Linked DNA regions of Macaca mulatta. Each later gene encodes a partner of the first gene's protein in a complex. Links are inferred from orthologs where the notes say so. Each region holds a gene or a part of one and is shown on either strand. Other genes may lie near its edges. The genes, in order: ARPC2 and ARPC5.

Region 1 (15,183 bases):
AAAGGGGACTAATCTAACCCAGCTTATGGTCATTTCTTTTCCTACTTAAAGCTTGGTAGTATTAGCATGAGAGGCAGTTTGTGAAATAGGTGAGGTCCCAGGCCAGGCATTGCGGCTCCTCAGCCATCATCTTTCCTTTGCCACTAATTGCTGAGAGGGTTTGCTCATCAGTGTGTATTCTTCCTGCCTGCAACTGAAAACAGCCCTTGCCTATTCCTGTACAGTGTGATGATACTAAACCAGCTCGGATAGAAGCACTTGCATTCTCTCAGCAAGGCATATGCTGCATAGCCTCTTTGAAGGACAGAGGAATAAATTACAAAGATAAATTAAGCAGGATCTTTGATTTGAACTCATAACGTGTTGGGGGACCAGATGCATTAATGAATAGTAAAATGTCATAGTAGAGGTTTGTAGAAAAGACATGGCAGCTCCAGCAAGAGAGCAGTACCTGCCTGGGTTTGTTGGAGATGGTGTTAGGAGGTGGTATTGGAGCAGCAGTAGAAGGGCACTGCAGGCCACATGACTGTAACCATGCCTTCAGAACTCCTAAAACAAGAGACCTTGGAGAGTCCTTGGCTGCATCCTCCTGCTATCTATCATCGTCGAAGGCCCGCTTGATGAATTTGGATCATCCAGTTTTACTGGCATTGCTAGAAAATCTACTTCTGTTCTTGCAGATGTGGCTGAGAGAAGGAAGTCTTGTATTACTTGTCTATTTACATAGGAATGCATGGACTATAGAAGCTTCAGGTTTGGAGATTGAAACATAGAAGGAAGGGCTTCCTTTATGAGCACCAAGACAGCTCAGGTTCTTTCATTCCATTGTCTTCTGTCCCCAAGAAGAGCTTAAGTTTGCTCTAAAGATTTTATTGATGAATTCTAAATAGCAACAGGATCCTCAGTGAAAAAAGACTCATGCAAAGTCCCAGAGCCTAGAGAAAGTATGGTAGTTTATCACCTATGTTGGTCCAAGGGAAAAGGATTATCACTACTTTTCATCACATTTTGAAGATCTGACTTATTACTTTGAAGTCTCTTCCTTTTGAATCTGAAGTACAGTGGCAGCAGCTAGCACTTGTAATATTTCAGGTTTGGTGTAGTTTATTTGTAACCTCCTGCTGCTCTGGAGGGCTACAAAGGTCACACCGCATAGAACAAACCCCATAGCTTGAGTTGCCACTCATCTTACACCCACTTCTCTTCTGGTTGCTTTTGCTTTGTCTTGGCAGGAGTTCAAAGAAGGACGCAGAGCCAGCCACACAGCCCCACAGGTCCTCTTTAGCCACAGGGAACCTCCTCTGGAGCTGAAAGACACGGACGCCGCTGTGGGTGACAACATTGGCTACATCACCTTTGGTGAGCAGGGTGCACTTGCTGCTTGCATGCCGCTTTAATGAGTTCACACAGAATACCTAAATCTGCACAGAACCTTGGTTAACATTTTAAGGTAGGCAAAAGCAGGCGTACCAAGTTGTTCCTGTTGCCATTGCTGTGACTAAAGGAGGGATGTCACAGGGTATTAATCACAGAGCATGCCATATGCTATTTTTGTACAGTAATCATTTCATTTTTTCCCCGTTTTTCTTAAATCTTAAAAATAAGACTGAATTCTGATATCAAGAGTTAAGGTCCCTTCGATAGCTCAGCTGGTAGAGCGGAGGACTGTAGCTACTTCCTCAGTAGGAGATGTCCTTAGGTCAGTGGTTTGATTCCAGCTTGAAGGAGTACAAGTACAGTTTTGGCCAGGCATGGTGGCTCATGGCTGTAATCCCAGCACTTTGGGAAGCCAAGGCAGGCAAATCACAAGGTCAGGAGATCGAGACCATCCTGGCCAAGATGGTGAAACTCTGTCTCTACTAAAATACAAAAAAAAAAAATTAGCTGGGCATGGTGGCACACGCCTGTAGTCCCAGCTACTTGGGAGGCTAAGGCAGGAGAATTGCTTGAACCGGGGAGGCGGAGGTTGCAGTGAGCTGAGATCGCACCACTGCACTCCATCCTGGCAACAGAGCAAGACTCAGTCTCCAAAAAAAAAAAAAGAGTTAAGGAGGCTGGGTACAGTGTCTTACGCCTATAATCCTAACACTGTGGGCAGATCACCTGAGGTCAGGAGTTCGAGACCAGCCCGGCCAACATGGTGAAACTCCGTCTCTACCAAAAAAAAAAAAAACCACAAAAAAAAATTAGCTGGGCGTGGTGGCATGTGCCTGTAATCCCAGCTAGTCGGGAGGCTGAGGCACAAGAATCCCTTGAACCCAGGAGGCAGAGGTTTCAGTGAGCCAAGATCACACCATTGCACTCCAGCCTGGATGACAGAGTGAGACCTTGTCTCAAAAAGAAAAAAAGTTAAGGATAGGCCAGGCACAGTGGCTCATGCCTGTAATCCCAGCACTCTGGGAGCCCGAGGTTGTTGCGTCGCTTGAGTCCAAGAGTTTGGGACCAGCCTGGATAGCATGGCGCAACCTCATCTCTACAAAAAGCCAGGGGCCAGGCACAGTGGCTCACACCTGTAATCGCAGCACTTTGGGAGGCCAAGGCGAGCAGATCACTTGAGGTCAGGAGTTCAAGACCAACCTGGCCAACATAGTGAACCACATCTCTACTAAAAATAAAAAAATTAGTTGGACATGGTGGCATGTGCCTATAGTCCCAGCTACTTGACCAGGTGAGGCATGAGAATTGCGTAAACCTGGGAGGTGGAGGTTGCAGCAAGCTGAGATCGTCCTGCTGTGCTACAGCCTGGGAGACTGTCTCAAAAAAAAAAAAGATAGCTAGACGTGGTGTTGCATGACTATAGTCATAGCTACTTGAGAGGCTGAGGTGGGAGGATCACTTGAACCCAGGAGGTCGAGGCTGCAGTGAGCTGTGATGGCACCACTACACTCCAGCCTGGGTGACAGAGTGAGACCCTGTCTTATCAGAAAAAGGAGTTAAGAAGAGAAACCACCTAAGCAGCTAGATGGTGGTTCTCTGTCATTTGGCAATTCTTGGTTTTTTGCTTATTAAGCCCAAGCTCCAGCCATGGTCCACTTACTCCACTTTTCCATGGAGTAAATTCAGGTCTTCCTTCAGTTGCTCCAGCCTCATGCACTGGCTGATTAGGATAGCTTACAGTTTGGAATTAACAGCTCATTCACACTGCACCCGATGCCACTGGAATGTCTCCTTTGTGAAATGTAATTTAATTCACCTCAGTGGTAAAGGTGAGCCTGTTTATTGGTGATGAATCTGTTGATTTACCAAATTTCATTAAATCTAAACAATACACTTTTTTCTTTTTTCTTTCTCTCTGTCACCCAGACTGGAGTGCAGTGGTGTGATCTCGGCTCACTGCAACCTCCGCTTCCCAGGCTCAAACAATTCTCGTGCCTCAGCTTCCCGAGTAGCTGGGACTACAGGCGCATGCCACCACACCCAGCTAACGTTTGTATTTTTAGTAGAAACGGGGTTTCCGGCCGGGTGTGGTGGCTCACGCCAGTAATCCCAGCACTTTGGGAGGCCGAGGCGGGCAGATCACGAGATCAGGAGATCGAGACCATCCTGGCTAACACAGTGAAACCCCGTCTCTACTAAAAATACAAAAACTTAGCCAGGCGTGGTGGCAGGCACCTGTAGTCCCAGCTACTTGGGAGGCTGAGACAGGAGAATGGTGTGAACCTGGGAGGCGGAGCTTGCAATGAGCCGAGATCACGCCACTGCACTCCAGCCTGTGCGACAGAGCAATACTCCGTCTCAAAAACAAAACAAAACAAAACAGGGTTTCCCTATTGGCCAGGCTGATCTCAACTCCTGGCCTCAAGCAATCCACCCACTTCAGTCTCCCAAAGTGCTGGGATTACAGGCATGTGCCACCGCACCCAGCCAGCTATACCATTTTTTTCAAGTTTTTATCTTTGAAGCTGGGTGCGTCTTACAATTCATGGCATGTCATAGTTTAATTGGCAGCATTTTTCTCTTGTGGTATATAAAATTATGGCAGACTTAGAGTCATAGCCTCCCAAGTAGCTGAGATTATACAGGCACATGCCATCACATGTGGCTAATTTTTATATTTTTAGTAGAGATGGGGTTTCACCATGTTGCCCAGGCTGGTCTCGAACTCCTGATCTCAGATGATCCGCCCACCTCAGCCTCCCAAAGTGCTGGGATTACAGGCGTGAGCCACCGTGCCCGACCTCACACAGGTCTTTAGGTGGCTGGTGCCACAGGGTTGGACTTCAGTCAGGCCCAGTCAGAGCAGCTCCTCTTGCCTGGCCTATCATGAGGGTTCAGGTCCTTATACCTTATTGTCTGTTTTCACAGTGAGAATATGGGAAATTCTCTGGCATCTGTGTTCTGGGAAGGTTTACTCTATTTCAGCACCAAGGACCTAAGACAGGCAGCTGCATTTCCTAATCCTGATTCCTTAAGGTAAACTGTTATAGCCAGTTAGTGTAATCCTGGAGTGTGATTCTGGAGTGTGCCCAGCTGCACAGGCAGGAGCTAGTACATGTGTGGCAGACAGGGAATAGATTTCAAAATGCACAGCTGCAGAATCCAGGACTAGAATGAAGGCCTAGCGTCAAGCCCTGTTTTTCATCATGGGCTCCTCCGTTCACGCTCATTGACACCTTTCCTGGCCATGCTGTTTATCCTTCCATGTCAAGAAAAAACCCTGACAAAGCCTGGTAATATTGACACAAGTGGAGGGTACTTCAGCAGAGAGGGAGTGAAGTTCACTAGGCTGTTGTTCTTCCCCACCCTTTGGCATTCGTGTTGGGTCCTAACACCTTGTGTCTTCCACCTTCAGTGCTGTTCCCTCGTCACACCAATGCCAGCGCTCGAGACAACACCATCAACCTGATCCACACATTCCGGGACTACCTGCACTACCACATCAAGTGCTCTAAGGTGAGGGGGGTGCCAGCATCTCAGCCGCTATGCTCTGGGTCTTTTCCTCCACCAGAACTCATGACAAAAAGTCATTCTGTTAGTCTAGGCTGTGGATATTGACTCTTAGGTAGATAATTCTAGAGGCTTCAAGAAACCATGGTCTTTCTTCATCAAGCCACTGTCCCCCACCCCTCCCCGTAGCAGAGATGAATATTTGTTTCCAGAATTGCTCACCTTCCTGCTTTGCTGCAGGGCCTGGGTCAGTCCCAGGGTGTATGTTCCCAAACGCCTCTGATGAAAGCAAAGCTGTCTTTCTAGACCGTGACTGTGCTTCAGTACCTGTTATGTTTGTTCCCAGGCCTATATTCACACACGTATGCGGGCAAAAACATCTGACTTCCTCAAGGTGCTGAACCGCGCACGCCCAGATGCTGAGAAAAAAGAAATGAAAACAATCACGTAAGTTAGGCAGCACTCCAGCAGGACCACCTTCCTCTCCTGAGTCACCGAGAAGGAAGCAGTGGGTGCTGGTGGCCTGGTCCTCCATGTGTCTGGGCACTGGCTACATGTGAGGCCAGCAGGGCTAAGTAGATAAAACAAAGGTGGGATTCCAGGTTTTCAGTGCTGTATAGGCCCAGATGGGTTTCCTTGTTTCCATATCTTTGTGAACTCTGAGAATGGCAGCTAGGAAATAAACAAAGTTTACCAAGAGACTGTTGTTTTTGGGCCTGAGTTACGAGGTCAGTCTTGTGCTTCTGGTGTTCTTTCTGGAGAGATGGAAGAAGTTGCTTAGGGACCTTTACTTGGGTAAATAGTCCTGACGCCGCCCACTAAGCGTTCTTTCCCTGGTGTACTCTCAGCGGGAAGTTTGCATGCAGAGGAAAGTTCTCTTTATCAAGGATAGAATTGAGGAGAGCCCTGATGGGCACAGTGGCTCACGCCTGTAATTCCAGCACTTTGGGAGGCTGAGGCAGGTGGATCACGAGGTCAGGAGTTCAGGCCTAGCCTGGCCAAGATGGTGAAACCACATCTTTACTAAAAATACAAAAAAAATTAGCCGGTCGTGGTGGCAGGCGCCTGTAATCCCAGCTACTCGGGAGGCTGAGGCAGAGAATTGCTTGAGCCCAGGAGACAGAGGTTGCAATGAGCTGAGATTGTGCCACTGCACGCCAGCCTGAGCAACAGTGAGACTTCGTCTCAAAAAAAAAAAAAAAAAAAAAAAAATTTTTTTTTTTTTTTTTTTTGAGGAGAGCCCTAAATAGGGGTGTGGCTCTGCATGCAGGAAAGACGAGCATGGCCTAGAGCCTAGAGAGTTCCATCTCTGTGAAAGGTGCCAGACCTTGGTTCTTCTGATGAAATTCAGGCAGTCCTGTCCTTAAGATACAGTAATGGTGTTCATCTGCTGTTTTTTTGTTTTGTTCGTTTGTTTGTTCGTTTGTTTGGTGGGGGTAGTTGGGGGAGACAAAGTCTCATTCTGTCGCCCAGGCTGTAGTGTAGTCCAGACCTTGGTTCTACTTCTGATGAAATTCAGGCAGTCCTGTCCTTAAGATACAGTAATGGTGTTCATCTGCTGTTTTTTTGTTTTGTTCGTTTGTTTGTTCGTTTGTTTGGTGGGGGTAGTTGGGGGAGACAAAGTCTCATTCTGTCGCCCAGGCTGTAGTGTAGTCCAGACCTTGGTTCTTCTTCTGATGAAATTCAGGCAATCCTGTCCTTAAGATAAGGTAATAGTGTTCATCTGCTGTTTTTTTGTTTTGTTTGTTGTTTTTTTGGTGGGGGGAGTTGGGGGAGACAGAGTCTCATTCCGTCGCCCAGGCTGGAGTGTAGTGGCGCAATCTCAGCTCACTGTAACCTCCACCTCCCAGGTAGCTGGGACTACAGGTGCACGCCGCCACGCCCGGCTAATTTTTTGTATTTTAGTGGAGATGGGGTTTCACCATGTTGCCTGGGCTGGTCTCAAACTCGTGATCTCAGTCAATCCGCCCACCTCGGCCTCCCATCTGCTGTGTTTTGTACCAGTTGAACTAAAAGTCTTGAGATCATAAGCCTCCCTAACAGCCAGTGTATTTGCCAGCACCCCAGTACTATTGGTGTTTGTTTTGTTGTTTTGTTGTTTTTTGAGATGGAGTTTCGCTCTTGGAGCACAGGCTGGAGTGCAGAGGCACAATCTTAGCTTACTACAACCTCTGCCTCCTGGATTCAAGCAAATTCTCTTGCCTCAGCCTCCACAGCAGCTGGGACTACAGGCTTGCGCCACTAAGCCTGGCTAATTTATTTGTATTTTTAGTAGAGTCAGGGTTTCACCATTTTGGCCAGGCTGGTCTTGAACTCCTGACCTCGTGATCCGCCCACCTCAGCTTCCCAAAGGGTTGGGATTACAAGCGTGAGCCACCGCGCCTAGCCCAGTACTCTGTGATTCCCAGCCTGGAGTGCAGTGGTGCAGTCTTGCCTCACTGCAGGCTCATCCTCCTGGGCTCAAGCAATCCTCCCACCTCAGCCCCCCAAGTAGCTGGGACCACAGGCGTGCACCATCACAGCTGGCTACTTTTTTAATTTTTGTGGAGACAGGATTTCACCATGTTGTCCAGGCTGGTCTCGAACTCCTGGACTCAAGTGATCCTCCCACTTCAGCCTCCCAAAGTGTTGGAATAACAGACATCAGCCACCGCACCTGGCCCAGCACTCAGTACTCTTGAGGCAAAGTTTTAGTGGGTGTGGTATGCCTAGGGCTTTACACTCTCTCTCTTGCATTTGAGGGCTCTTCTACCAAGTTAGTTTCTGCTGCCATTTGAAAGGATGAGAAAGAGATCCAAGGACCTGAGCAGTAGGTGAGGGTTTTCAGACATTCTCAAAATGCAGTTTAAGGCAGGGTGTGGTGGCTCACCCTTGTAATCCCAGCACTTTGGGAGGCCGAGGCGGGCGGATTACCCGAGGTCAGGAGTTGGAGACCAGCCTGACCAACACGGAGAAACCCCATCTCTACTAAAAATACAAAATTAGCTGGGCATAGTGGTGCATGCCTGTAATCCCAGCTACTCTGGAGGCTGAGGCAGGAGAATCGCTTGAACCCAGGAGGCAGAGGTTGCGGCGACTGAGATCGCACCATTGCACTCCAGCCTGGGCAACAGGAGCGAAACTCGGTCTCAAAAAAAAAAAAAAAAAAAGCAGTTTAAGTCACCCCGACTTCTTTAGGTAAAGGCCTGTCTCTGTAGCAGTTCAGAGAAGAGTGTCCAAATGCCATGCAATGAAATAGCAGCATCGTTTCTTTTCTGCAGCTTCTTGGGCAGATCCTTAAATGGGCAAAGTAACCAACAAGGTGGGTGGGCAGGTGAGAGGATGTGCTCTTGCTGCTCCTCCAGAACCTGGTCTCCATCCTGGTGTCTGCATTTTCCCCTTTCCCTGCTTGCTCTACGCAGGAGTGCTTTTCTCATCAGGTACTTGTTTGGTGACCTGGAGTGTGAGGCAGAGAATTTCATGCTGCTTTCAGGGCCCAGTAGACAGGCAGTTCAGTAGAAGCCAAGAGGTAAACTGGCAGCAAGGTACAGTGAGAGGGAAGCCTGACCTGGCAGCCTGTGATAACTGGACTGGAAGGCTGGGCATCATAATAGTCTCGGGGCTGCCGGCATCACCTTTGGCACTGGTAGCTGCTTGTGCATCCAGGAGGAAGGCCTTTCAGGCAGCTGCTGCCCGATTCCACAGCCAGCAGGCAGTCTTGGGAGTCCCTGCCCAGTGAGTGCAGTTGTGTAGCGGGCAGGGATAGCTTCCTGTCCTGGTGAGAGACCCAGGAAAGGATGAATCCTTGAAATGAACAGACTGTATATAAGTCTCCTCTCTGGGACTTAGAAAGAGCAACTTTGCCTTCTTCTGTGCTGCAGCTTCTCTTTGGCAGAGTTGGGCCCCAGAAAGGAGAAGCAGGAGACAAACAGCTACATCCACCCTGAAAACCAGATTATGTTACTAATGGTGGGTAGGAGTTAAGTGACTCAGCTGTGGGCAGAAGCCAGGAACTCTCGATGGGCTGCCCAGAATTGAACACTCATGAGCTTTTCATTTGGAGAGAAGGATAATAAGGTGTAGCTTCATTTTGGAATGAGTGATACATCTAAGGCAGGGAAAATGTAGAGCCCGTGTTTTTGCCCTGATTTCCCATAGTTCTCAGCTCTAGCTTCCAGGCTGCTTTCCCAGATGCTGTTAGGTACCAGTTAGAGGCTCTGTCCTTGAGGACCACCTATCCCGTCTGGAGAAGTATTGGGTGGAACAGGACACCACAATTCAGGAGCCTCGAACCAGGCGGGTGTTGTATAAGCCAGAGGAGGAGTTACCACGTGATAGCAGAAATACCTTTAGCCTTGGAAGTTCTGAGGATTGCTTTGAACCAGCCACCTGCCTTCATGGTGAGAGATGAAGGAACTGCTATCTGGGAACCCTGAGAGGTATACGCTGTGTAGGAGGAGCTGACAAATGAGGTAGTACTAAGACGATGGTTGAGCCTAGTCAGAAATTCAGGTACATCTAGGCCATCCAAAAATTATGGACAAGTGATTCTTCTATCTAACTTGGTACATTGAATGTCCTTATGGGCTTAACACTGATATTCCTGGGCATCCGAAGTATCCGATAGGAAGGAAGAGCTGGTGAAACCGTTCTGTGAAAGCCAGATTTTAGCCCATGTCCTGTGGTTCCAGTGCCTCTGCTTAAGGAATCTAGCCCTTTCCACCTTTCATTTGGTGTTTCTTTGGGATCCCATCTAGTCTAGGAGTGTGGGGTGGGAGGAAAGGGCAGCCAGAAACTGACCTTCGCACTTATCTCTCCTTTTGAAGGGGGAAGACGTTTTCATCCCGCTAATCTTGGGAATAAGAGGAGGAAGCGGCTGGCAACTGAAGTCTGGAACACTTGCTACTGGATAATCGTAGCTTTTAATGTTGCACCTCTTCAGGTTCTTAAGGGATTCTCCGTTTTGGTTCCATTTTGTACACGTTTGGAAAATAATCTGCAGAAACGAGCTGTGCTTGCAAAGACTTCATAGTTCCCAAGAATTAAAAAAAAAAAAAAAAAAAAAAAATTTCCACTTGATCAACTTAATTCCTTTTCTTTATCTTCCCTCCCTCACTTCCCTTTTCTCCTACCCTCTTTTCCAAGCTGTTTCGCTTTGCAATATGTTACTGGTAATGAGTTGCAGGATAATGCAATCTTAACTTGTTTTCTCCTAAGTATTTGAGTTCAAAACTCCTGTATCTAAAGAAATACGGTTGGGGTCATTAATAAAGAAAATCTTTCTATCTTACATGAGAATTTACTGGGTTTCTGGACTGCGGGTCCAACGTGAGAAGAGAAGGAAGGAAGAAGGATAGACCTATACTGCCCTTGAACCTGCAAACCTAAGCTGGGAAGCCCTAGTTTCAGGAGCCCATCAGGTTTAGGTCCTCACTTCATCTAGAGGAGAGAATGGCTGGCCAGTGAACTATATTTAAACTCCTCCCCTCCCGACTGGGAGACAGGGTCTTGTTGCCTCCTGGGCTCAGGTGATCCTCCCACCTCAGCCTCCCAAGTAGCTGGGATTACAGGCGCATACCACTATGCCTGGCTAATTTTTTATATTTTTAGTAGAGATGAGGTTTCGCCATCTTTCCCAGGCTGGTCTCAAACTCCTGGACTCAGGCAATCTGCTTGCTTCAGCCTCTCAAAGTGCTGGGATTATAGGCATGAGCCATGGAACCCGAGCTATTAATACAAACTTACATGCTTCCTTGTAAAGCTTGGTCCCTGAGACTCTGTGGCTGTTCCTGAAGCTCCCTGGACAGTGACAGACAAACGGTTTTCTGGTTTTTTTATTGTGAATAATGTGTGGGATTTCCCAAAATGTGTTCCTTAGTGTGTGGTCCTGCAGGGCATTGATGGTTATTCAGGTGTATGTCTGATGCAAACTAACTGGCCACAGTTTGTCTTTCTCACATGGCAGCCCAAAAGACTGCTTTCAGGGAGAGAAGTTGTCAAAAACAGTACAGAGCCTAGTCGAGCAGCTGTCCCTCAGCAGGACTCTGGTCCTTGAAATGAAATTGCTTCAGAAAGTTTGCTTGGAGTAAGGAATTAAGAGAATTTTAAGGGCATCTGCAATGGTCTGATGGTCATTCTAATGGTTTCTGCCTTCCATCTATGGCAGTGTGTTTCATACTGGCTTGGGACCCATTAATTGTGACATAACCTGACTATATCACAACCAGCATTTTTGTTTTCTAAACTTTTGATTTTGAGATAACTAGATTTAAATACGGTTGTAAGAAACAATACAGAGAGATCCTGTATACCTTCCACTTGGTTTCCCCGCCATGCTAACATCTTGTATAATTGTTGTGTAGCATCACAGCCAAGAAAAGGTCATTGGTATAGTCCACCCACCTTCTTCAGATTTGCCGCACTGTATGTGGTGTACATCTGTGCATTGTTGTCATATGTGTAGCTTTATGTGACACCAGCATTTTTAAGCAATTGAATAGTATCAGAGTGCATCGCATCTATTAAGGGTAAGTGTTGGTTTGGAAATGTATATTAGTTACATATGCACATCATGACTGGATTATAGAAATGTCTTTTGACTGTGAGTCACAGTGGAGAATTTTGAAAACCACAGGTCGTTCAGTCATCAGACTTCGTTTTTATTTCACTAAAATGGGCTGCTAGAGAGCTCAGGGTACTCTGATAGTTCTAATTGGCTGCTCAGGGTGCCCCTGACCACTTCTGGTACTTGGAAAACCTAGATTAATTGGATATATTGACAGCAACGTGTGCATTCTCTACCTCATGAGTTATTTAAGGGGTTGTCAGGTGTAATTTTGACTAGAAGCAGTTTTTGCTCTTTTTTTATTTTAATTTTAGTTTTTAGAGACAGGGTCTCACTGTGTTGCTGAGGCTGTACTCAAGCTCCTGGCCTCCGGAGTAGCTGGGACCATAGGCACCTGCCACCGTGTCCAGCTGAGGTTTTGCTTTCTTCCTTAGTAGAACATAACTAATGTTGGAGCTCACTGTACTCTCTTGCCAGTAGCAGGAATCCAGTTTCTGGTAGGTACTGTAGATGGCAGAACCAAGATTGCTTAGAAGATATGGAGTTCGGAGAAAAATGAAAAGGCATAAATATTTTCTACAGCAGTAGATCCTAAGGAAGTAACTAGTTCCAAGACGCTTTGTCAACATTAAAAATCCATAGTGCAGGCTGAGCACAGTGGTTTACACCTGTAATTGTAGCACTTTGTGAGGATGAGGAAGGAAGACTGCTTGAGCCCAGGAGTTCAAGACCAGCCTGGGTAACAGTGAGACTCCTTCTCCATCTCTATAAAAAAACTTAATCTGGCCGGGCGTGGTGGCTCACACCTGTAATCCCAGCACTTTGGGAGGCCAAGGCGGCTGAATCACCTGAGGTCAGGTTGAGACCAGCCTGGCCAACACGGTGCAACCCCATCTCTACTAAAAATACAAATATTAGCTGGGCATGGTGGCGGGTGCTTGTAATCCCAGCTACTCTGGAGGCGGAGACAGGAGAATCACTTGAACCCAGGAGGCGGAGGTTGCATTGAGCCAAGATCATGCCATTGCACTCCAGCTTGGGCGACAAGAGCTGAACTCTCCAATAAATAATCTCACCAATAAATAAATCTGTAGTGCAGCCTGGACAACATGGCGAGACCCTGCCTCTACAAAAAATAAAAATTGGCTGGATGTGGTGGTGCATGCCTGTGGTCCCAGCTACTCGAGGCTGAGGCAGGAGGATTGCTTGAGCCCTGAAGGTCAAGCCTGTAATGAGCTGTGTGTGCCTCTCCACTCCACCCTGGGCAACAGAGTGAGACCCGGTCTCAGAAAAAAAAAATCCATACTGGTGTAAACCCCTGTCCAGATTGACTCTTAACAAGGACACACTTGGTGTTAGTACGGATCTAGCCTCAAAGACCCTCCTCACAGATGAAGCAGCCCACTGTCACCAGTTGAGGCCTTAGGACCGCAGGAAGAACGTCTGAGGATGAAGGTCAAGCACACTGAGAGTGTGGGCTGGGAAAAGGGGATCTAGTTGTTTCTTCCTAGTCTCAGGAAGCCAGTGCCCCAAGGGTTCACACCTGGGAGGTGCAGGTATATTTGGATATGGGCTGTAGAAGAACAGTTTGAATCCAGGTTCCGCCATCCAATAGCTGTGTGACAGCAAATCTCTTAATCTGAGCTCTGGTAACCTCATTTAAATTGGACATTTACCCGAGGATTTGTAAAAGGAAAAGAATAAATGTCTCTTACATGGTAAGCATTATGATGCCTGTAATTACAATGTCACTTAATGAATCTTGGTTCCCTTTATACACCCAAGGGGATCAGAAGCGACAGGCTGCTGCCCCAGCAAAGTCCCGCAGAAGCCAACCCTCATTCGGTGCTTGGGGTTTCCTAGGCTTTCCCCAAGGTCGTTGGTATTTTGGTATTTTCCCCTGCTTGAATGGCCCTTACTGCCCGGGCAAGGCAGGTAGGAATCTCCATGTCTGGAAAAAGTGGGACCTGGGGCAAGCTGCAAGCCAAAAATTAGGAGCTTGGCAGGAAAGACACTAAGACTAACAGGAAGTGGAAGGGTGGACTTGGAGGAGGAATTGAAACCAAGAAAAGGAAATAGCTCTAGCTGCTGCCTCAGCCTTCTTGGGGGGAGCCGTTACTTGGAGTTGTTTGCCATTAAGTTACCCTCATTTGGAGTAGTACTGATGGGTGCTCAACCGGAACCTGGGTCTACTCTGATGGCGATTTTGAGTTCAAGCAATGCTGCCCCCTACTGGGGGTTGCTAAAAGCACTGCCATTTCTGGGCGGCGGGGGGAGGTTTGTTGTTTTTGGTTTTTGTTTCTTTTGTTTTTTTGGGGGGGGGACAGAGTCTCACTCTGTCACCCAGGCTGGAGTGCAGTGGCACGATCTTGGCTCACTGCAACCTCCGCCTCCCGGGTTCAAGCAGTTCTCCTGCCTCAGCCTCCTGAGTAGCTGGGCCTACAGGCACATGCCACCACGCCCGGCTAATTTTTTGTATTTTTAGTAGAGACAGGGTTTCACTGTGTTAACCAGGATGGTCTGCATATCCTGACCTTGTGATCCACCCGCCTCGGCCTCCCAAAGTGCTGGGATTACAGGCATGATCCACTGCGCCTGGCTCTGATTTTTTTTTTTAAGTATTATTTTGAGGCAGGGTCTCACGCTGTCACCCAGGCTGGAATGAAGTGGCGCCATGAAGGCTCACGGCAGCCTCGACCTCCTGGACTCCAGCGATCTTCCCACCTCAGCCTCCTGAGTAGCTGGAACCACACAACATATACCACTGTGCTCAGCTAATCTTTATTTTTTGTAGAGACGGAGTCTCACCACGTTGCCCAGGCCTCGGCCTCTTAAAGTGCTGGGATTACAGGCATGAGTGTGAAGTGTTAAACAGCGGCTCAGGGAGGCCAACCAGGGTCCAAGAAACCCCGTCCCTGCTGCCTCCACTGGTCCAGAGCTAGTACCCCCAGCCAGCATGACACTCATGTCCCAGACATTGTGGGTCAACAGAAATTCAGATAGCTAAGAGAATGGAAACGGACAAAGGAGGCACAGGAGGATTCCGTGCCAGAGTCTGGATTGGTCACCCCCGTTCAGGTTCTGCCTGAGGAAAGGAGAATGGGGTCCGGGCACAGTCGGCTGGATGGAGCATCTGAAGACGGCTTGCACCAGAGCCCTCGTGGCTGAAGGAAGAAGCCAGGGGGTGAGTCAGCCCCAGGGCTTGATGGAACAGACAGGAACTAGATGATCTAGTAAGGGAGAAGCAAGGCTGAGCAAGAGACAGCCCAGGCTCCCTGGCTGCCACTGCCTAATCTGTCCCCCTTCACACATCCCACACACAGTGTTTAGACAGAGCAGCAGAGAAGAAACAGACATCCTGGATCCCACGGGGAGCAGGCCGGGGCTGGGAACAGGAGGTCTGTTTATTCCTGGCAGTCCCATATCAGAAGGGTCCCACACCCACTTCTGTCCAGGCCCCAGGCTGAACTCTCCCAGAGCCTGTGACTTCTGCCCTATCATATCGCGTGGTTCTGAGGGCCGGCCCTGGAACCCTGCATCCTCCCCACCCACCAGCTCCCTCGAGGATGGATTTGAGGCTGGATGCTTTCGTCTTCCCACTTTTTGTCCCAACAGAAGTCCCTCCTCTTCAGGATCCCTGACTGACTGTGCAGAGCTAGCAGAGCCACACTCCGCGGACCTCCAGCCCTTCAGGCCCAGCTCTCCTGGAAAGCACGGAAGTCCCTTTGCTCCATTTACTTTTTCAGCCAGGA
Region 2 (15,761 bases), on another chromosome or scaffold:
AAGGCTTCAGCAGTGCTCTGACATCCTTAATGACTCTCTTCTCTATCATCTTCTATCTATATAGTCATAAAAACCCTACCAAATTGTTCCTGTTAAGAGTATAGTACTTGGTGCTAGAAGCAGAAAACCTTTCCTCTTAATTAACCATACATTCGTAAGTGTTAAAGTCAAAGAAAAATAAATTATTCAACACTGACATTTTATTTTCTGAAGTTTTATCATTTTTACAAAACAAAACAAAATGAAACAAAAAGCAGGTATCAAAATCAGCAAAGAGTTTATAGAATTTCTGCACCAGTTTGCACATAAGTCAGTGATTATAAAACTGGTGTCCAATGTAAATACTAATCACAAGCTGACTTCCTCCTTGATCAGGTGGTTTGTTTTGGAACTACTGGATATTTATAACTTTTTATAAGCACCGGTCATTTTTTGAGAACTGATTTGGTTTGTCCAACAAAGTAAACCATTTTTTGCTGTGTGGCAGTTTCTTTTTTAAAAAAACACTGAGCTAAAACACAGAATGTGTATTTGTTTGGATCTGAACCAAATCTTCTGAGATCCCAATTACCCTGAAGAACACTGAAGACATTTATGGGGCATATTAAATAGTATCTTAAATACTAGTTGTATGCCTCATAATGTCTAAGGCAGCTATTATATTTCTAAAGAAAGTAGCATTTCATTCAGAGGCTGCCCAGAGTTTGAATTACACCATAGTTTTTCTTTCTTTCTGCAAATCATTCTTTCTGATTTACAGTTTTTTTCCAAACAGAACCATATTATTGGAACAAAAGTTTGATGTTCATGCCCAACAAGCTCTGATATTTTATGGATACATTTGTATAGAGCAAGACTTCTTGCTCTGAACCCTGGGCGACCACAAATAAATTGAGAGGCCATCATTATTGGATGCTGAGAGAAAGTGGCACACTTAAACCCACAGTACAGATAATCAGGAGGCAAGCAAAAACAAAGCTAGAACTCGGTAGTGGTATTCACCCACCACTTATTCCAAAAACATATTTTGCTTAAATAAGGGAAATATGGTCCAGTTTTGCAATGTTAAGAGCTGCCAGTCTCTCATATTTTTTATAAATATCATTTCCCGACTAGCAGTGAGCTAGGAAACTGGCCTCAAATTCTAACCAAATCTCTCAGTATTAAGTAAAAATAACACAAAACAAAACAAAAAACCAGCCAATAGGGGTTAAAAATTGCACAATTAAACTTGAATGTAAATTATACTATATACAGACTGGTATAAACATCACTGAAATGGTTTTGAAAGGATGAAACATTTATATTTTAACACAATTTCTTCTATATTATCCCAATTTTCATTAAAGGAAAACTGATATGTAATTTTCTTCTTTACAGATATGAAAAAGCAAGAAGGCAAAGCTGAGAGAAACAGATGCTACCCACAGGGCAGCGGTGGCATTTGGTTGTTTTGGTCTTTGTACCAGCAATTCCCACTCCCGAGGCAGATTTCCACTTCCTGCCAGACTACACGGTTTTTCTTGCAGTCAAGACACGAACAATGGACCCTACTCCTCCAGCAGCAAGTGCCTAAAAACAAACCAAGATGTAAATGTTGACAGAATCGTAAAAGGTCAATTCTCATATTAAGTAAAACATTTTTCTTACAGAAGGAATGGTCATGGCTATAGACCCTGAATTTATCATTTAACAAATAATAAATTCTTGAACACCAATTACGCACCAGGTACTACTGTTCTTGGCACTGGGGTTACAGTAATAAACAAAACCTTGAAAGTCCCTGCCCTCATGAGCTTACAGTTTAGTGAGATACTAGTTTACATTCTAGTACATTAATTCTAAATAATGTTTTAAAAAATCTGCAGTGTAGTCTTCCTGCTCAAAACAGGTGGACATTCTGCATCTCTCATTCTCACTACACAGTCAGGAGAAAATTCAAACTGGGATCAACCATCCCAACCTCCACTTCAATTAGTTAGCCTTTGTCAGATTTTTTTCTCCCAAAGAAAGAAGGTATTGTTTAATAGTTAAGAACTTAGAAACTTTAACTCTGACTCTAATTTGAAAAACAGAGAGTAATGATCAAGTATTAGGAATCTGAGCTCTAGTTTCTTTCTGTTCAAAAATATTTATGGAATACCTTTGTATACTGAGTACTGTGCTAGATGCTGGGGATACAAAAGTGAACAAATACAGCATTTTCTGGTGTAGCACGAGGAGACAGACATATAAACAGATAATTTTAATCTAATGTATGAAATGAGAGTTGTGCTTCAGGTGCTATTAAAGCACCAGGGAGTGGTTTATACCCAGATTAACAGTACAGAGGAATGTTTCAGCTAAGGCTTCCTGGAGGAAATGACACATTAAAAGAACGAGCAGGTGACAGGCTAACACCAGAAAATCATGAGCAAATATATGGAGGTGTGAAACGATATGGTGCATTCAGGAAAAAGGCTGGCATTGCTATAGCCTGAGGGGAAGAATGACATGGAAGATGAAACCAGACTTGCGAACTTTGACTTTATCCCGCAGGTGACTGACAAGGGCAATTCTGATTTTAAAGAGATCATTCTGTTAGCTGGGTAGAGAACAGATTTGAGGGAGGCAAAACTGGTAGCTGGGAAACCAGTCAGGAAGCTATGGCAACAGACTGGGAGAGATGCTGTGAAGAGCTGCATTAGATACACTTGAACAGATAGATTTCAGAAATACTTAGAAGATTGGTAAAAACTGGTGACTGACATTTGGAAGAAATGAAGACTTCACACATGCCTCAGTTTCCTCAGCTACAAAAGAGGAATAATAGCAAACATTTCCCTCCGTTTTCATGAGGATTAAATGAGTTAATATTTATAAAGTCCTTGGAAGAGTATCTGGAATATAATAAGTGCTTAATCAATGTTCACTGCAATCTTGAGGCTATACTAGAACTAGGCTGCTTGGTTTTAAAGCTGGCTCTTCATCTGTAAATTGAGGATGATAAAGATATTTATGTATTTCATAGGGTTGTTGTAAAGATTAAACTAAAACATTAATAGTATGGTGCCTGGCAACAGAAAGTGTTCCATGAATAGGGTGCCATATAAATTACTATCCAAACTGGTACATTTTAGAGTAAAAGGGGGAACTATTTATAGTTATGATGGGACAACAAGCATAAATTGGGGCTATCCTGGGAAAACTGTGAGGAATGGTTACCCTATCCATAAATGTTAGTTCTTTTTGATAGTGTATGAGGGATAAAGTGACTTGACCAAGGCTAAACAACAAGTTTACTATGTACTTTTCTCTTATGTGTGTGTTTTCATTCGGATACACTTCAAACACTTAATATTTTTATGGCTGGTTCTATTTACATGTTATCCAGTTTTTTACCCAAAGCTCAAAATCCCTTGTACTCTTTTGACAGATGATGTACCAGCATCTACTTACATTGCAAAATATATGCATGAAAATAGAAAAAAATGATTTAAGAATTCTTGATCCTCCAAACCCCTAATTCTTTAAAAAAAAGTTGTAAAATATCTAACACAAAATTTGCCATTTTAACCATCTTTAAGCGTAAAATCCATTGGCATTAATTACATTTACAATGTATTGTAGCCATCACCACTATCTGTTTCCATAACTTTTTTACCACTCCAAGCAGGAACTCTGTACCCATTAAGCACTAACTCCCTATTCCTTACTTTTCCTACTTCCTGGTAACCTCTAAGGACTTTCTGTCCCTTTGTCTTTGCCTATCTTAGATTATTTTATATAAGTAAAATTATAAAATATTAGTTCTTTTGTATTTGGCTTATTTCACTTGGTATGTTTTCAAGGTTTACTCATGTTATAGTATGTGTCAGAATGTCATTCCTTTTTATGGTTGAATCATATTCCATTGTATGTATGTACTACAATTTACCTGTTCATCTGTTGATGATCCTTGTGTTGTTTTCACCCTTTGGTCACTGTGAAAGAATTCTTGATTTATACTGCTTATTTTCTTTTACAAAGTTTTGATTTAATTTAGAGTTCAAGATTATGTTTAATTACTAATAATCGTTGCTGAATAAACACAAGTGTTGGAATTAGAATCTCTTAAGACCAAGGCTAGTAAACATAAATATGAACTATCATTTTCATGCATTTTATTTGTAATAAAAAAATGTACAACCAAGTCAAAATGGTTATTCAGGTGAGAGAGGTCGTCACTGTCATCCCCTATTGTAAAAGAACCAGTTATGTAGATTTATAATTCATAATTTACCTTTTCATGCCATTGCAGTAACACAGCACTGCTATTGTCAGAGGGGCTCTCAAATCCTTTATAAATATACTTCATTAGGAGATCCACACCATTCTTGTCCAGAGATTGAACTGCCTTTTCAATATCATTAGCTTTAAAAGAGATGAGCACCTTCAAGACAATGCTGCCTGCCCGGTCCTGGTGAGTAAATAAATAACAGAACATTTAGACGTATCTGTATGAGGATGGTTTAGAATTTCAGAAAGGCCACACTAAGAAGGTGACATTTGAGTAAGGACCTGAAGGACGTGAAAGAGGAAGGCCTGGGATAACTGAGGAAAGTGTTTCAGACAGAGGAAAGAACACACTATTAGTGTGTGTTCAGTGTGTTCTAGGAATAGGAAAAAAACCCAATGTGGTTGGAGTGGACTGGTGGGAGAAAAGCAGGTGAGCAAGTCAGAGGTTATGGGAGGACAGATCGTGTAAGGCCTCCAGGCATTGTAAGGAGTTTGGCTTTTACTGAGAGAAATAAGAAGACATTGGAAGGTTTTAAGAGCAGTGCCATAATCTGACTCACATTTTAACAGGATCGCTTTGGCATCTACGTTACAGAGAATAAGCAGTGGGGGTAGGGGATAAGGCAGAAGCAGGGAGAGCAATTAGGAGGTAATTGCAGTAATACAGGCCGGATGTGGTGAGCACAGTAGCAGTGGAAGTGGTTAAAAACTAGACAGACTATTGACATAATTGAAGGCAGAGCCAAGAGGATTTGCTAACAGATCAATGTGATAATTTAACAATTTATTAAAACAACATTTAAATTTTATGTCTTGATCTTAAAAACAAAATTCCAACAAAACAGCCGGGTGTGGTGGCTCACAGCTGTAATCCCAGCACATCGAGAGGCCGAGATGGGCAGATCACCTGACGTCAGGAGTTCAAGACCAGCCTGGCCAAAATGGTAAAATCCTGTTTCTGCTAAAAATACAGAAATTATCCGGGCATAGTGGCAGGTGCCTGTGATCCCAGCTACTCGGGAGGCTGAGGCATGAGGATCGCTTAAATCCGGGAGGCGGAGAGTGCAGTGAGCAGAGATTGCGCCATTGCACTCCAACCTGGGCAACAGAGTGAGACTCCGTCTCAAAAAAAAAAAAAAAAAAAAAGAAACCCCACAAAACAAGGAAGCAGATTTGCATTTCTACCTTGAATTATTCTTCAGAAGTAATTTTTTCTTAAAAACTTTCTTTTAAAATTTTTAAACAAAGCTGTCTTAAAAGAAAATTGTAATTTATATGAATTGACTGTAGATACGAAATATAGTGATGTTCATTAATAATGATCTTTTTTCTTTAGCAAAAGCCTGCTTCAAAAGCAGTTATTTTCTTACCCATTCAAGCAAGCAAAGGGAACACTTAACTGACCTTTTCAACAATTCGTTTCTTCTTCCATTCAACACAAAGGGCTACCTCCAGCATTCCTACTGGTCAGGATTTCACACAATGTTTCTACTACCTATTGTTATCTTTGGTTTAAAGACTATGCAATCACCAGATTTAGAAAACATATCTTTGCATCCAGGGTAAAAATGAAATTTCAACGACATTCTTTACAACTTGTAAAAACCAAAGCAATTTTTCCCCGATAAAAAATTATGTTACCTAGATAATTATTACACATTTACCTAAGTTATTACTTACTACTACTCAATTGAGATTCTTGAAGCTCCTAGGATGTACGAATAGTTATGGACAATGAGGTTGATGCTATGGGCATCATTTTAAATAAATACTTAAATAGGCTAAGAACTACTAAAAGACTGCAGAGAATGTAAGTTGCACAACCATTCTGAAGGGCAATTTGGCAATACTACATGTACCAAAAGCCTTAAAAAAGTGCGTTCTTTGATCCAGTAATTCACTGCTAGCAATTTATTCAAAGAGAACAATTAAAAATTTACCAAAAAATATTCATTTCAGTGGTTCACAATAGGAAAAGTCAGTCTAAATATATAACAAAAGATTAGTTATGTATACACTGCAGCTTATCCATATACAACTGTTAAAAATGCTATAGAAATAAACTTATTACGAAGGAAATCTCTTGTACATTGCATACAGCCGAAAAAGCAGGTTATAAAATTTCATTCTTAAAAAACAAAAGGGAACTCTAACAATATAGCAAGGCCCCAAAGTAGTAACTGTTATCTCTGGGTAGTGGGACTATAAATGACTATCTTTTTAACCTTCCCATATGTCTGAGCTTTCTATAATAAATATTTAGTATTTGTACAGTTTTAAAAAATCTTTAAAAAGCAATTACAATCTGTTTATTTTTGTAAAGGTTTAACTTATTTTTCAAACCTTTGTTCAAATTCAGCCTGAGTGGTCTCCTCTAAAAACACACACAAATGATTTCACTATTTGAATTCACTGCATCTTACCATGCAGCATTATCATAACTACATTACAGGGCTATTTTTTCACGTGAAATTTTTACCTATCAAACTACATTATAAACTCTTCTATGTCAAAGTTAGCAAACGGTTAAAATATTGGTTTTTTTTTTTTTGCAACTGCAGAGGATTTTACTAAGAATAAGGTATCAGCAGAGATCACTGTGTTGTAGTCTGCGACTCACCTTCACTGCCTGACTCTTGGTGTTGATAGGGGGGTTCTTCAGAGCTGCCTGTAGGGCAGCTGTCATGTTTCCTGTGATGGAAGTTAAGGGTGTAGCAGCAAAGCATGGCCCCCAGGAAAGTATTATAACCACTGGTTCTGAAGACTTGCTTTATATATAAAAAGAAAATTACTGGTCACCATGTTCAATACTGGAAATTCAATGTGTTGGTTTCCAGGATGTTAATCAAGGGCAAGATATCAAAAGCAAAACAGAACATTAGACTTTCTTTTTAATAAAGCAAAGACTGTTTCACCCTTGGTTCTAACTATCAAATGAACACCTTGATAGTCTTTCATTGCCCAGTGAGATACATATGCAAACATTACCTAGAGTGGTGTTAAAGAAATCCTAGGCCGGGCGCGGTGGCTCAAGCCTGTAATCCCAGCACTTTGGGAGGCCGAGACCGGCGGATCACGAGGTCAGGAGATCGAGACCATCCTGGCGAACACGGTGAAACCCCGTCTCTACTAAAAAATACAAAAAACTAGCCGGGCGAAGTGGCGGGCGCCTGTAATCCCAGCTACTCGGGAGGCTGAGGCAGGAGAATGGCTAAACCCGGGAGGCGGAGCTTGCAGTAAGCTGAGATCCGGCCACTGCACTCCAGCCTGGGTGACAGAGCGAGACTCCCGTCTCAAAAAAAAAAAAAAAAAAAAAAAAAGAAATCCTAAAATATGTATCAGAATTATTAGTCCCCCAAATGAAATAACCTATTATCAACCAAAATATGTCTTTTCCTGTGATTCTAATTGAAAAAATAAAGACCAAACTTTTACTATATTCTATATTAACTGAAATGCTGGTAGAACATGCTGGCAGATTAGCAATCTCAATGATACACATTAGCAGTCTCTCAATATTGATGAAAAGAGGCATCACAGAAGATGTAATAATTCATATGTCCCTTAGGTGGCAGCTTAATTTTTTGCTTTAGATATTTTCTCTCATATTTCACAACGGTTATTCAAACTGTGTTAGACCATACCTATTAAATTCAGACTCTCTTTGAAAGCACTAGTGAGTTAGCAAGCATGAGAAACAGAAGGCCAATCAGACTGTCAGAATGTACCAGACATTCCCCTAAAAGGAAAACCACAGAGTTCACTTGTTCCTCCATCTCTAGTACCCCACCACTAGGGCTGTCTTTCCTGGCTGTATGTAAGGGTAAGAAAAGACAGTATCTTTTTATTTTAAGATGTACTGATCAAAAAGCGGATCCACTGATATGGACACAGCAGTCACCATAAATTACCTAAAATACATTGGGGTTTCATAAAACACCATCTATCCATCACAAATGTTTTTAGGAAGCATGTTCACCATTTATCTTCCGAAGAAAAAGTTCTCACACACACAAAATCTCTGGTTGACAAGCTGTTATTTTCAAGGCTGCAAGGATTTCTAGAGAAGCATGCCTCATGTGATTAGCTCATTTTGTATGACCCCAAGCACTTATTTAAATAATGCAAAAGAGCAACAGCTAATTAATTGTGAAAGTTGTGGCAATCAAAGGACTAGCTATATATTGATAAATGTCTAATGCTGTATTTAGGTGCCTTTAAAAAAGGATACTGTTGCCATTAAATATTTTCACTCACATTTTCCTCATATAACAGGACATTGAGTCTTCCTTATGAATACACCCAATAATTAGAAATGCATAAAAAGCCAGTGTTTGAGATTTTCTAAAACTATAGCTTCGGTTTTTTGCAACATTTACATTTTTCTAAAAAAGATGTAATGCAAATACGGAGTCAAAGTTATGAATATTCAAATATGCAAAAACAGAAACCGGGAACTGACAGCCATATTTTAACTAAAATGGAATCAATTTTAGGAATACAAAAAATTGTATTCATTCCCCTCCCCCGGTTAACAAATTCTGTGCAATGTATATTTTGTCAAATCCCCCCCTCCCTTTTTTTTCTTTTTTTAAAGGCCAATGGGCTGAAAGCATAGGGGACCTCAATTTTCAAACCGTACCATCTACCTTCTGCCCCCGGTAAGGAATAAACTATCTTAATGCTAGCAATAACAAAAACACAACAAAAAACAAAATCACTAAGGAAAGACGCAGGTTCCCCACAATCAGAAATTTCTGGAGCTAATGTGACTCCGGGAAATAGAGTTCTAGGAAGAAAAACTTAGGCGCTCGGCACCAGCCTTCCCCACCAGCCCGGGCCGCCTTCCCCAACGCCGCGAAGGCGCGGCCGGCGGGACCGGTTCCCGAGGCAGGCAGGCACTCGGGTGCAACCTGAGGAATCTGGGGGCGTGGAAGGCGCGCGGGGGAGGGCAGGCTTCCAAGAGTGGGACCCTCGCGTCTCCTGGCTCCTGAGTAGGAAACGGGGGCTTCCTCCTGCCCTCTCAGAGCGGGAGACCCCAAAGAGACAGGTTTAGCCGCAGGTAGACAGGGCAGCTCCGCGCCGGGGCCCCGCGGAACCTTCAGGCTCCCGGGTCTCTGGACAAGGGCGGGCTGGGCTGGGCTAGGGTGGGGAGGGCGGCGAATGCAAGGATATTGCCGTAGGCAGGAGTCCACCTCGCCCTCATCGGGCCCGGCCTGGCCGTCGCCCCCATCTTCTTCGTCCACGAACTTGTTCTCGTCATATTCATCCACGTCCACCTTCCGGAACCGGGCTGACGACACTGTGTTCTTCGACATCCCAATCCCTACCAGCGGCAAAGGCCTCTTCTTGGAGCTGCCTCTACCTCAGCAAGCCGAGCCCAGCAGCCCACTGCCCGGCGCCTGATTCACTTCCCTCTTCCGCTCTGGGGCGTCGCCGGCTGCCGTGGCTGGGACGGTTCTGGGCCTGCGCGCCAACCCTGCTGCTTCCTCCTCAGGTTCACGCTCTCCTGGCGCCTCCCACGCCGCCCCCACTCTTTCACGGAGAGCGCGCGCGGGGGAGGGAGGGCGCAGGACACAGCGCGCAGGCGCGGGCTCTCCGTAGGCAAGGGGCGGGGCTGGGCGAAGGAGGAGGGGGCGAGAGGGAGGGCCGAAACCTGGATCGCGGGCGGAGGTAAGAAACGATTGGTCGTCCGAGTGCGTCACGTGATTCCCAGGGGGTTCCCATAGAAACGCTTTTCTGCGGTCCAGTCTAGGGGGTCTGAGGTTGTCGGTGATGGGCAGCAGCGGCAGGTGGCATTGACTTTTGCTGCAGCCGTCAACGACCTGTCATCCGGGTCCTGCGTAAGGTCCGACTGGCTGGGACTTGGATGTGGGTGGGATGGACTTGGCTGCCGGACCGAGTGCCCTGCAGTTGGCAGGAGTATGAGGCGGAGTGATGCACACCCGGGCGCCCAGCATCGTTCTAATTGCCGGAGACGTTACCTCGGACTGTGCGCTGCTAGGGGCTGCGTTCCTGAGCGGGAAGCCCGTTTCCTGGGGTTGGAACTACCCTACTTGGCCAGCGGGAGGTCCCCAAGGACGGAGTCGAAAGGTCAAATCTTATCTGTCAGTGCTGTGTGACAGCATCACGACGGGATCTGCAGAACCTGAACTCGGTATCAAATCTACTGGGAGGGAGGGGAATGTGTCCGGGCAGGCGCTGGGGTCGGTTGGCAAAACTGGGGTGAATTTGTAGAATTTGGGAAAGGGTCATTGACATCTTAAAATAGGTGGTTGTTTGGAGCAAGAATGCTGAAAAGGGGTGAGGGTAGGTTAGGCTCTCTAGTGCTGGGGGAAAACAAAATGGGTAAGGATTGGTGGAAACCAGACCTTTAAGATTTATATTATGATTTAAGATTTATATGATTCCATCTAGGCCAGATTTTAAAAAAAATATTTGACATCCCCATTTCCGGAATGTAGGAGATAAAGGCACTAAGACGAAGGAAATGGTAGTTGTGCTGTGTGTATTACACTGAAGAACAAATATTTGCAGGATAAAATTAATTTGGACATTTGGCTGGACATTGCTCAGGTATGGGTCTAGTTTAGTTGGACCTCGAACAGAAGACTGGCTGTTGTCCTGTTGTGTGCCACAATCTTTGGTTTCCAGTGCTGTGTTGAAAAGAGCACTGGGCTTATAATCAGAAAACTCAGGCTTAAGTCTTGACTCTTCCGCTCATAATGTTTGAACGAGACATGTCACTTGAAATTCTGTCTCAGATTCCTCATCACCGAAATGGAGCTAATAATGTGCACTTTACAAGATTGTTCTTAGGATTAAATATCACGAAAGTGTTTCCAAGCTCTAAAATTCTACATAAATGTAAAATGCATGTTACTTGTACCATTGGTTTTGGGACTAGTCTTATAAATTGCTTAATAATATATGGTGTTTTATCTTGTTCCTGGAAGAGATGGAAAGATTCTGAAGGGCAGAGACAGTTTTTCTTTTGTATCTTCCTTCCATCCGACAAAAAACTAAGCATGCAGAAGGGACTCGATGCGTGCTTGATGAATGAATGAAAAATGAAAGACTGTACAGTTTGAGAATCATACTGAGAATAACAGAAGAGGGAGAGAGATCTCAAAATTAAATATTTGTTGGCTATATACGTGTAAATACATACATCCAGTCTTCTTTAAGTTCAAAAAAATACATATATATGTGTGTGTATTTATCTATGCAGTATATTATATATAAATAGAGAGTGGGAGAGAGACCTCGAGAATGGAATACATCCCTTTTTCTTGGGAAGAAGCAATGTGGCGTTTTTCTGTTCCCAATTAAACCACTCTTCTATAAGTATATCATTTAGGTGATAGAAGTAACATTGCTTTAAATTAACATTCAAGTTATGAACACACACACTGGTAAAAATTATCTTAGGACTGTCTTAAGACAGCAAAGGAAAAAATTTTACCTGTTGGTAATATTTATTTTAAAAAACCATATACCGAAGTATAAAATCATTGCTATGGTGAATGGCATTATGTAACTTAGAATAGAGATTTTACAATTTTTTTTCAGTTTGTCTTTGCTAACTTTAGTAGATGTTAATCAGTACACTTTAGCTGTTAAAGGTGATTGTACTTTTTCTTCTTTTAAATCAGTATTTTTCTTTGAAGAGAAAATCGAACAATAGAGGCACTATTGAGAGCAAATGGAAACAAGGATAGATTCAAGAGCTAATACATCTCTTCTCTTACATTTCTATTCTTTTGTATTGCCTTATTTAGGAAATTTTTTATTTTCTTATTTGAGAACTATGAAAGAATCCCAGAGTAGAAATCAGCTTAAGGGAATAGTGAGAGGAATTTAAATAATCGATTGCTCAAGGGTATAATTATTTTGATTGCTCAGAATTTTGCTCTATATGTTTAATGTGTTAAATATAATTAATTGCCAGCCAAATAATGCTTATGGCATTTAACATGTGAAAAATGTCTTTTCTAATGCAGTAAATTTTATTGTCTCACAATGATCCAAGTGCCTAGTACATACTAGGTACTCAACGTGTTTCTAGCCAATGATTTAAGGATCTGACAACTTAATTTTGGACTAACATTCAGAGATTGAGTATTTTTTAATGGGCACATAAATTACTTCTCCACCTTATTAGCTAGTTATATCTTTATAAAGCTTTAGGGAAATTTTTGTGTGTATGTGGAGAAATCTGTCCTTAATTATCTTTTAATTAGAAAGCTCATTATTTCACTTCCTTGCAAATTCTAAATTTTTAATGTTTATCATGATACTTCATTCATCTTAGGTAATATTATTTTCCTTTTAATTTTTCAAATGAGTGCTTACCCTGATATAAAAGGTTTATAAGGTTTTAAGACATTTTACTTGTTGTGCAAATAACCTAGTTTGATTCAATACCGAAGCAGGACTGAATCTGAATTTTCTCAAGGTTAATGCTGTATATGTAGTTCCTTATTTTCTGTGATGATGCAAACAGCCAAGGATCTTTTCAGTTAGAAGGGACTTTAATAAGGCTATAATAGGTCTTTCTTTTCAGACATTTTAAACCAAGGATTCTAACATATGCTTCTCTTCCCCAAACTTGCCACTAAATACTTAAACAACAAATAAAGACATTGAATCCTGGCTGGGTGCGGTGGCTCTTGCCTGTAATCCCAGAACTTTGGGAAGCCAAGGCGGGCAGATCACTTGAGGTGAGAAGTTCAAGACCAGCCTGGCCAACATGGGGAAACCCTGTCTCTACTAAAAATACAAAAAATTAGCCGGGGGTGGTGGTGCGCACCTGTAGTCCCAGTTACTTGGGAGGGTGAGGTGGGAGAGTTGCTCGAATCCGGGAGGCGGAGGTGGCAGTGAGCTGAGATCATGCCATTGCACTCCAGCCTGGGTGACAGAGTGAGACACTTCATCTCAAAAAAAAAAAAAAGATATTGAATCCTGCAACGTGACATTATTTATTTTTATTATTTGAAATAGAAGTGCAAAATCAATGCTAATCAAATATGTAAAATGTATTATAAATATAAATAAGCGAATTTCAGTTCTGGTAAGGATGCTTTAATACCAGGGTTCTCTGGCAACATAATATATATAAATATACATAATAAATAAAAATATAAAAATATTTTTAGCATGTTGTGCATAGATTATCTTATGATTTAATGCTCCTATGAATATCTGCATCAACTGGTTATGTGTTAAATTTTAAAACACGAACCTTCAAAATTTCATTTTTTCTTTGTTTCGAGTTTTTTCTTTATATAATTTTATGATTACACATTAAAGTGGAGTAGATAGGGTGAACTCTCTACTCAAACTTGTCAACTAAAAACCTGTAAGCTAAAGAAAAAAAAAAAATCTCTAAATACATTGAATTTATTTGGGAATTAGAAAGGAGGATTATAACCTGAGATGCATAGCTGTGGCAAGCTACATATGCATCAAAGAAGGGAGGATAAAGGGAAACTTTTTAAAATTTTATTTATTTATTTACTTATTTATTTGAGACGGAGTCTCGCTCTGTCGCCAGGCTGGTGTGCAGTGGCACAATCTCGGCTCACTGCAACCTCTGACTCCCTGGTTCAAGTGATTCTCCTGCCTCAGCCTCCAAAGTAGCTGGGATTACAGGCGCACGCCACCACGCCCAGCTAGTTTTTATATTTTTAGTAGGACGAGGTTTCTGCCTGTTGGCCAGGATGGTCTTGATCTCCTGACCTTGTGATCCGCCCGCCTTGGGCTCCCAAAGTACTGGGATTACAGGGGTGAGCCACCGCGCCTGGCCAAAGGGAAACTTTTATTTGGCAAAAGGAGAAGTTCACATAAGATGGTTGGAAACAGATACTGGTTTTGGATACTCAAAGTCAGACTTGGCGACATTTTAGAGGAGGAGATGCTATTACTGGGCAGGTGTTGTTTTGAGAGCATTTTATCTGAATTGCTGCAGTCCTACAGAATTTCTTATTTTAGAAAGTCCTTGAGACAAGACTTCCAAAAATGTCTTTTATCTCGTCCATGCAATCATGAACCCTACTCCTTTGTGCTCTCCTGGCTCTAGTTTGTGTTTGACAAAAAGTGATTTCATCCTGGTATCTGCAACTTTCATAAACCTTTATTCATATATTAGTACTTCAAAGATTAAAAAAAATTGTAAATCTGTACTCTTGCCTCAGGAAGAAGATTTAGTGCCAAAGAATAAGTCTTATTTTTAAAGTATTGTGAATGAGACTTTTTCATTTGATTTTTTTAACGGCTTATGATATAAAATGAAAGCTATGGACTTTAAAACATATTTATCCTGTATTCTTTCTTAGCATGGGGGTATTTTATTAATGCTAACAGTTGTTTTAAGGTTGCATCTCTTATCACACTGTATAATATTTGAGGTAATGATAATTTACATCTTCTTTTCCAATATTTCTGTCACTTATTTTATCTTATTATATATGCTAGAATGTTGAAAAGAGTGTTGAAAAATTGAGTGCTGGGCTCTTCTGCTTTGTTCCTGTCTCAATGGAAATGTCTTTGGTATTTCACCAGTTGACATATTTACTTTTGCTTTATGACTTTTAGAAATGACTGCTAAAATTATCAAATGCCTTTTATGGGGATCTAATCATAAAAATCGTATAGTTTCTATCTTTGAATTTATGAGTGTAGTGAATATATATATTTTTCTACACTGAAAAATTCCCATGTTTCTACAATAAACTCTATTTGGTTGTGAAATATTACCATTTTAATTACTTGCTGGATTTGATTAGTTTATATTTTGTTTGTGTGGTTTCAGAATTTTTTTAAAAAAGTTCAGACAGGATCACACTCTGTTGCCTAGGCTGGAGGGCAGCGGTGTGATCTTGGCTCACTGCAGCCTCGACCTCCCAGGCTCAAGCCATCCTCCCACCTCAGCCTACCGAGTAGCTGAGACCACAGGAGCACACCACTACCCCTAGCTAATTTTTGTATTTTTTTGTAGAGATGGGGTTTTGCCATGTTGTCCAGGCTGGTCTTGAACTCCTGAGCACAAGTAATCTGCCAGCCTCGGCCTCTCACAGTGCTAGGATTATAGATGTGAGGCACTGCGTGCTGCCTTTAAAAATTTTGTTCTGTAGATGCAGTGTCTCCCTATGTTGCCCAGGCTGGTCTTCAACTCCTGGCCTCAAGCAATTCTCTAGCCTTGGTCTCCCAAGTGATGAGATTACAGGCATGAGCCACCCCACCATGCCTGTTCATAATTTCTGTTTTTAAGTAAGATGGATCCATAATTTTATTTATTTGTGCTATCTTTATCCAGTTTTGATATTAGTGTTAGCCTAACTTTGTAGACGAATTTAGATTTCCACCTTTTTTTCCCTACACTCTGCAATAGTTTAAATGATGAGAAATTATCATGCTATTTGGTCTTTGAAAGTTATAGTGTGTGCTGCAAAACTACCTGGGCTTGCTGATATTTTTAGAGGTAGATCTTCGATCATTCTTAT

What was found.
Region 2: ARPC2 (region 1) and ARPC5 share a complex: the UniProt entries of both Homo sapiens proteins name them as parts of the arp2/3 complex. The link is inferred for Macaca mulatta from reciprocal best matches to the Homo sapiens genes ARPC2 and ARPC5.

Annotation. Positions count from the first base shown.
Region 1 is NC_133417.1:123,457,214-123,472,396, forward strand, and holds the end of ARPC2 (actin-related protein 2/3 complex subunit 2), read left to right. Parts: intron 1-1,232; coding exon 1,233-1,359; intron 1,360-3,179; exon of another isoform or gene 3,180-3,294; intron 3,295-3,689; exon of another isoform or gene 3,690-3,752; intron 3,753-4,792; coding exon 4,793-4,893; intron 4,894-5,233; coding exon 5,234-5,334; intron 5,335-9,692; coding exon 9,693-9,717; 3' UTR 9,718-9,906; downstream 9,907-15,183. UniProt on the Homo sapiens protein: Actin-binding component of the Arp2/3 complex, a multiprotein complex that mediates actin polymerization upon stimulation by nucleation-promoting factor (NPF).
Region 2 is NC_133406.1:41,101,402-41,117,162, forward strand, and holds ARPC5 (actin-related protein 2/3 complex subunit 5), read right to left. Parts: upstream 9,720-15,761; 5' UTR 9,576-9,719; coding exon 9,432-9,575; exon of another isoform or gene 8,489-9,431; intron 6,950-8,488; coding exon 6,878-6,949; intron 4,439-6,877; coding exon 4,262-4,438; intron 1,573-4,261; coding exon 1,510-1,572; 3' UTR 186-1,509; downstream 1-185. UniProt on the Homo sapiens protein: Component of the Arp2/3 complex, a multiprotein complex that mediates actin polymerization upon stimulation by nucleation-promoting factor (NPF).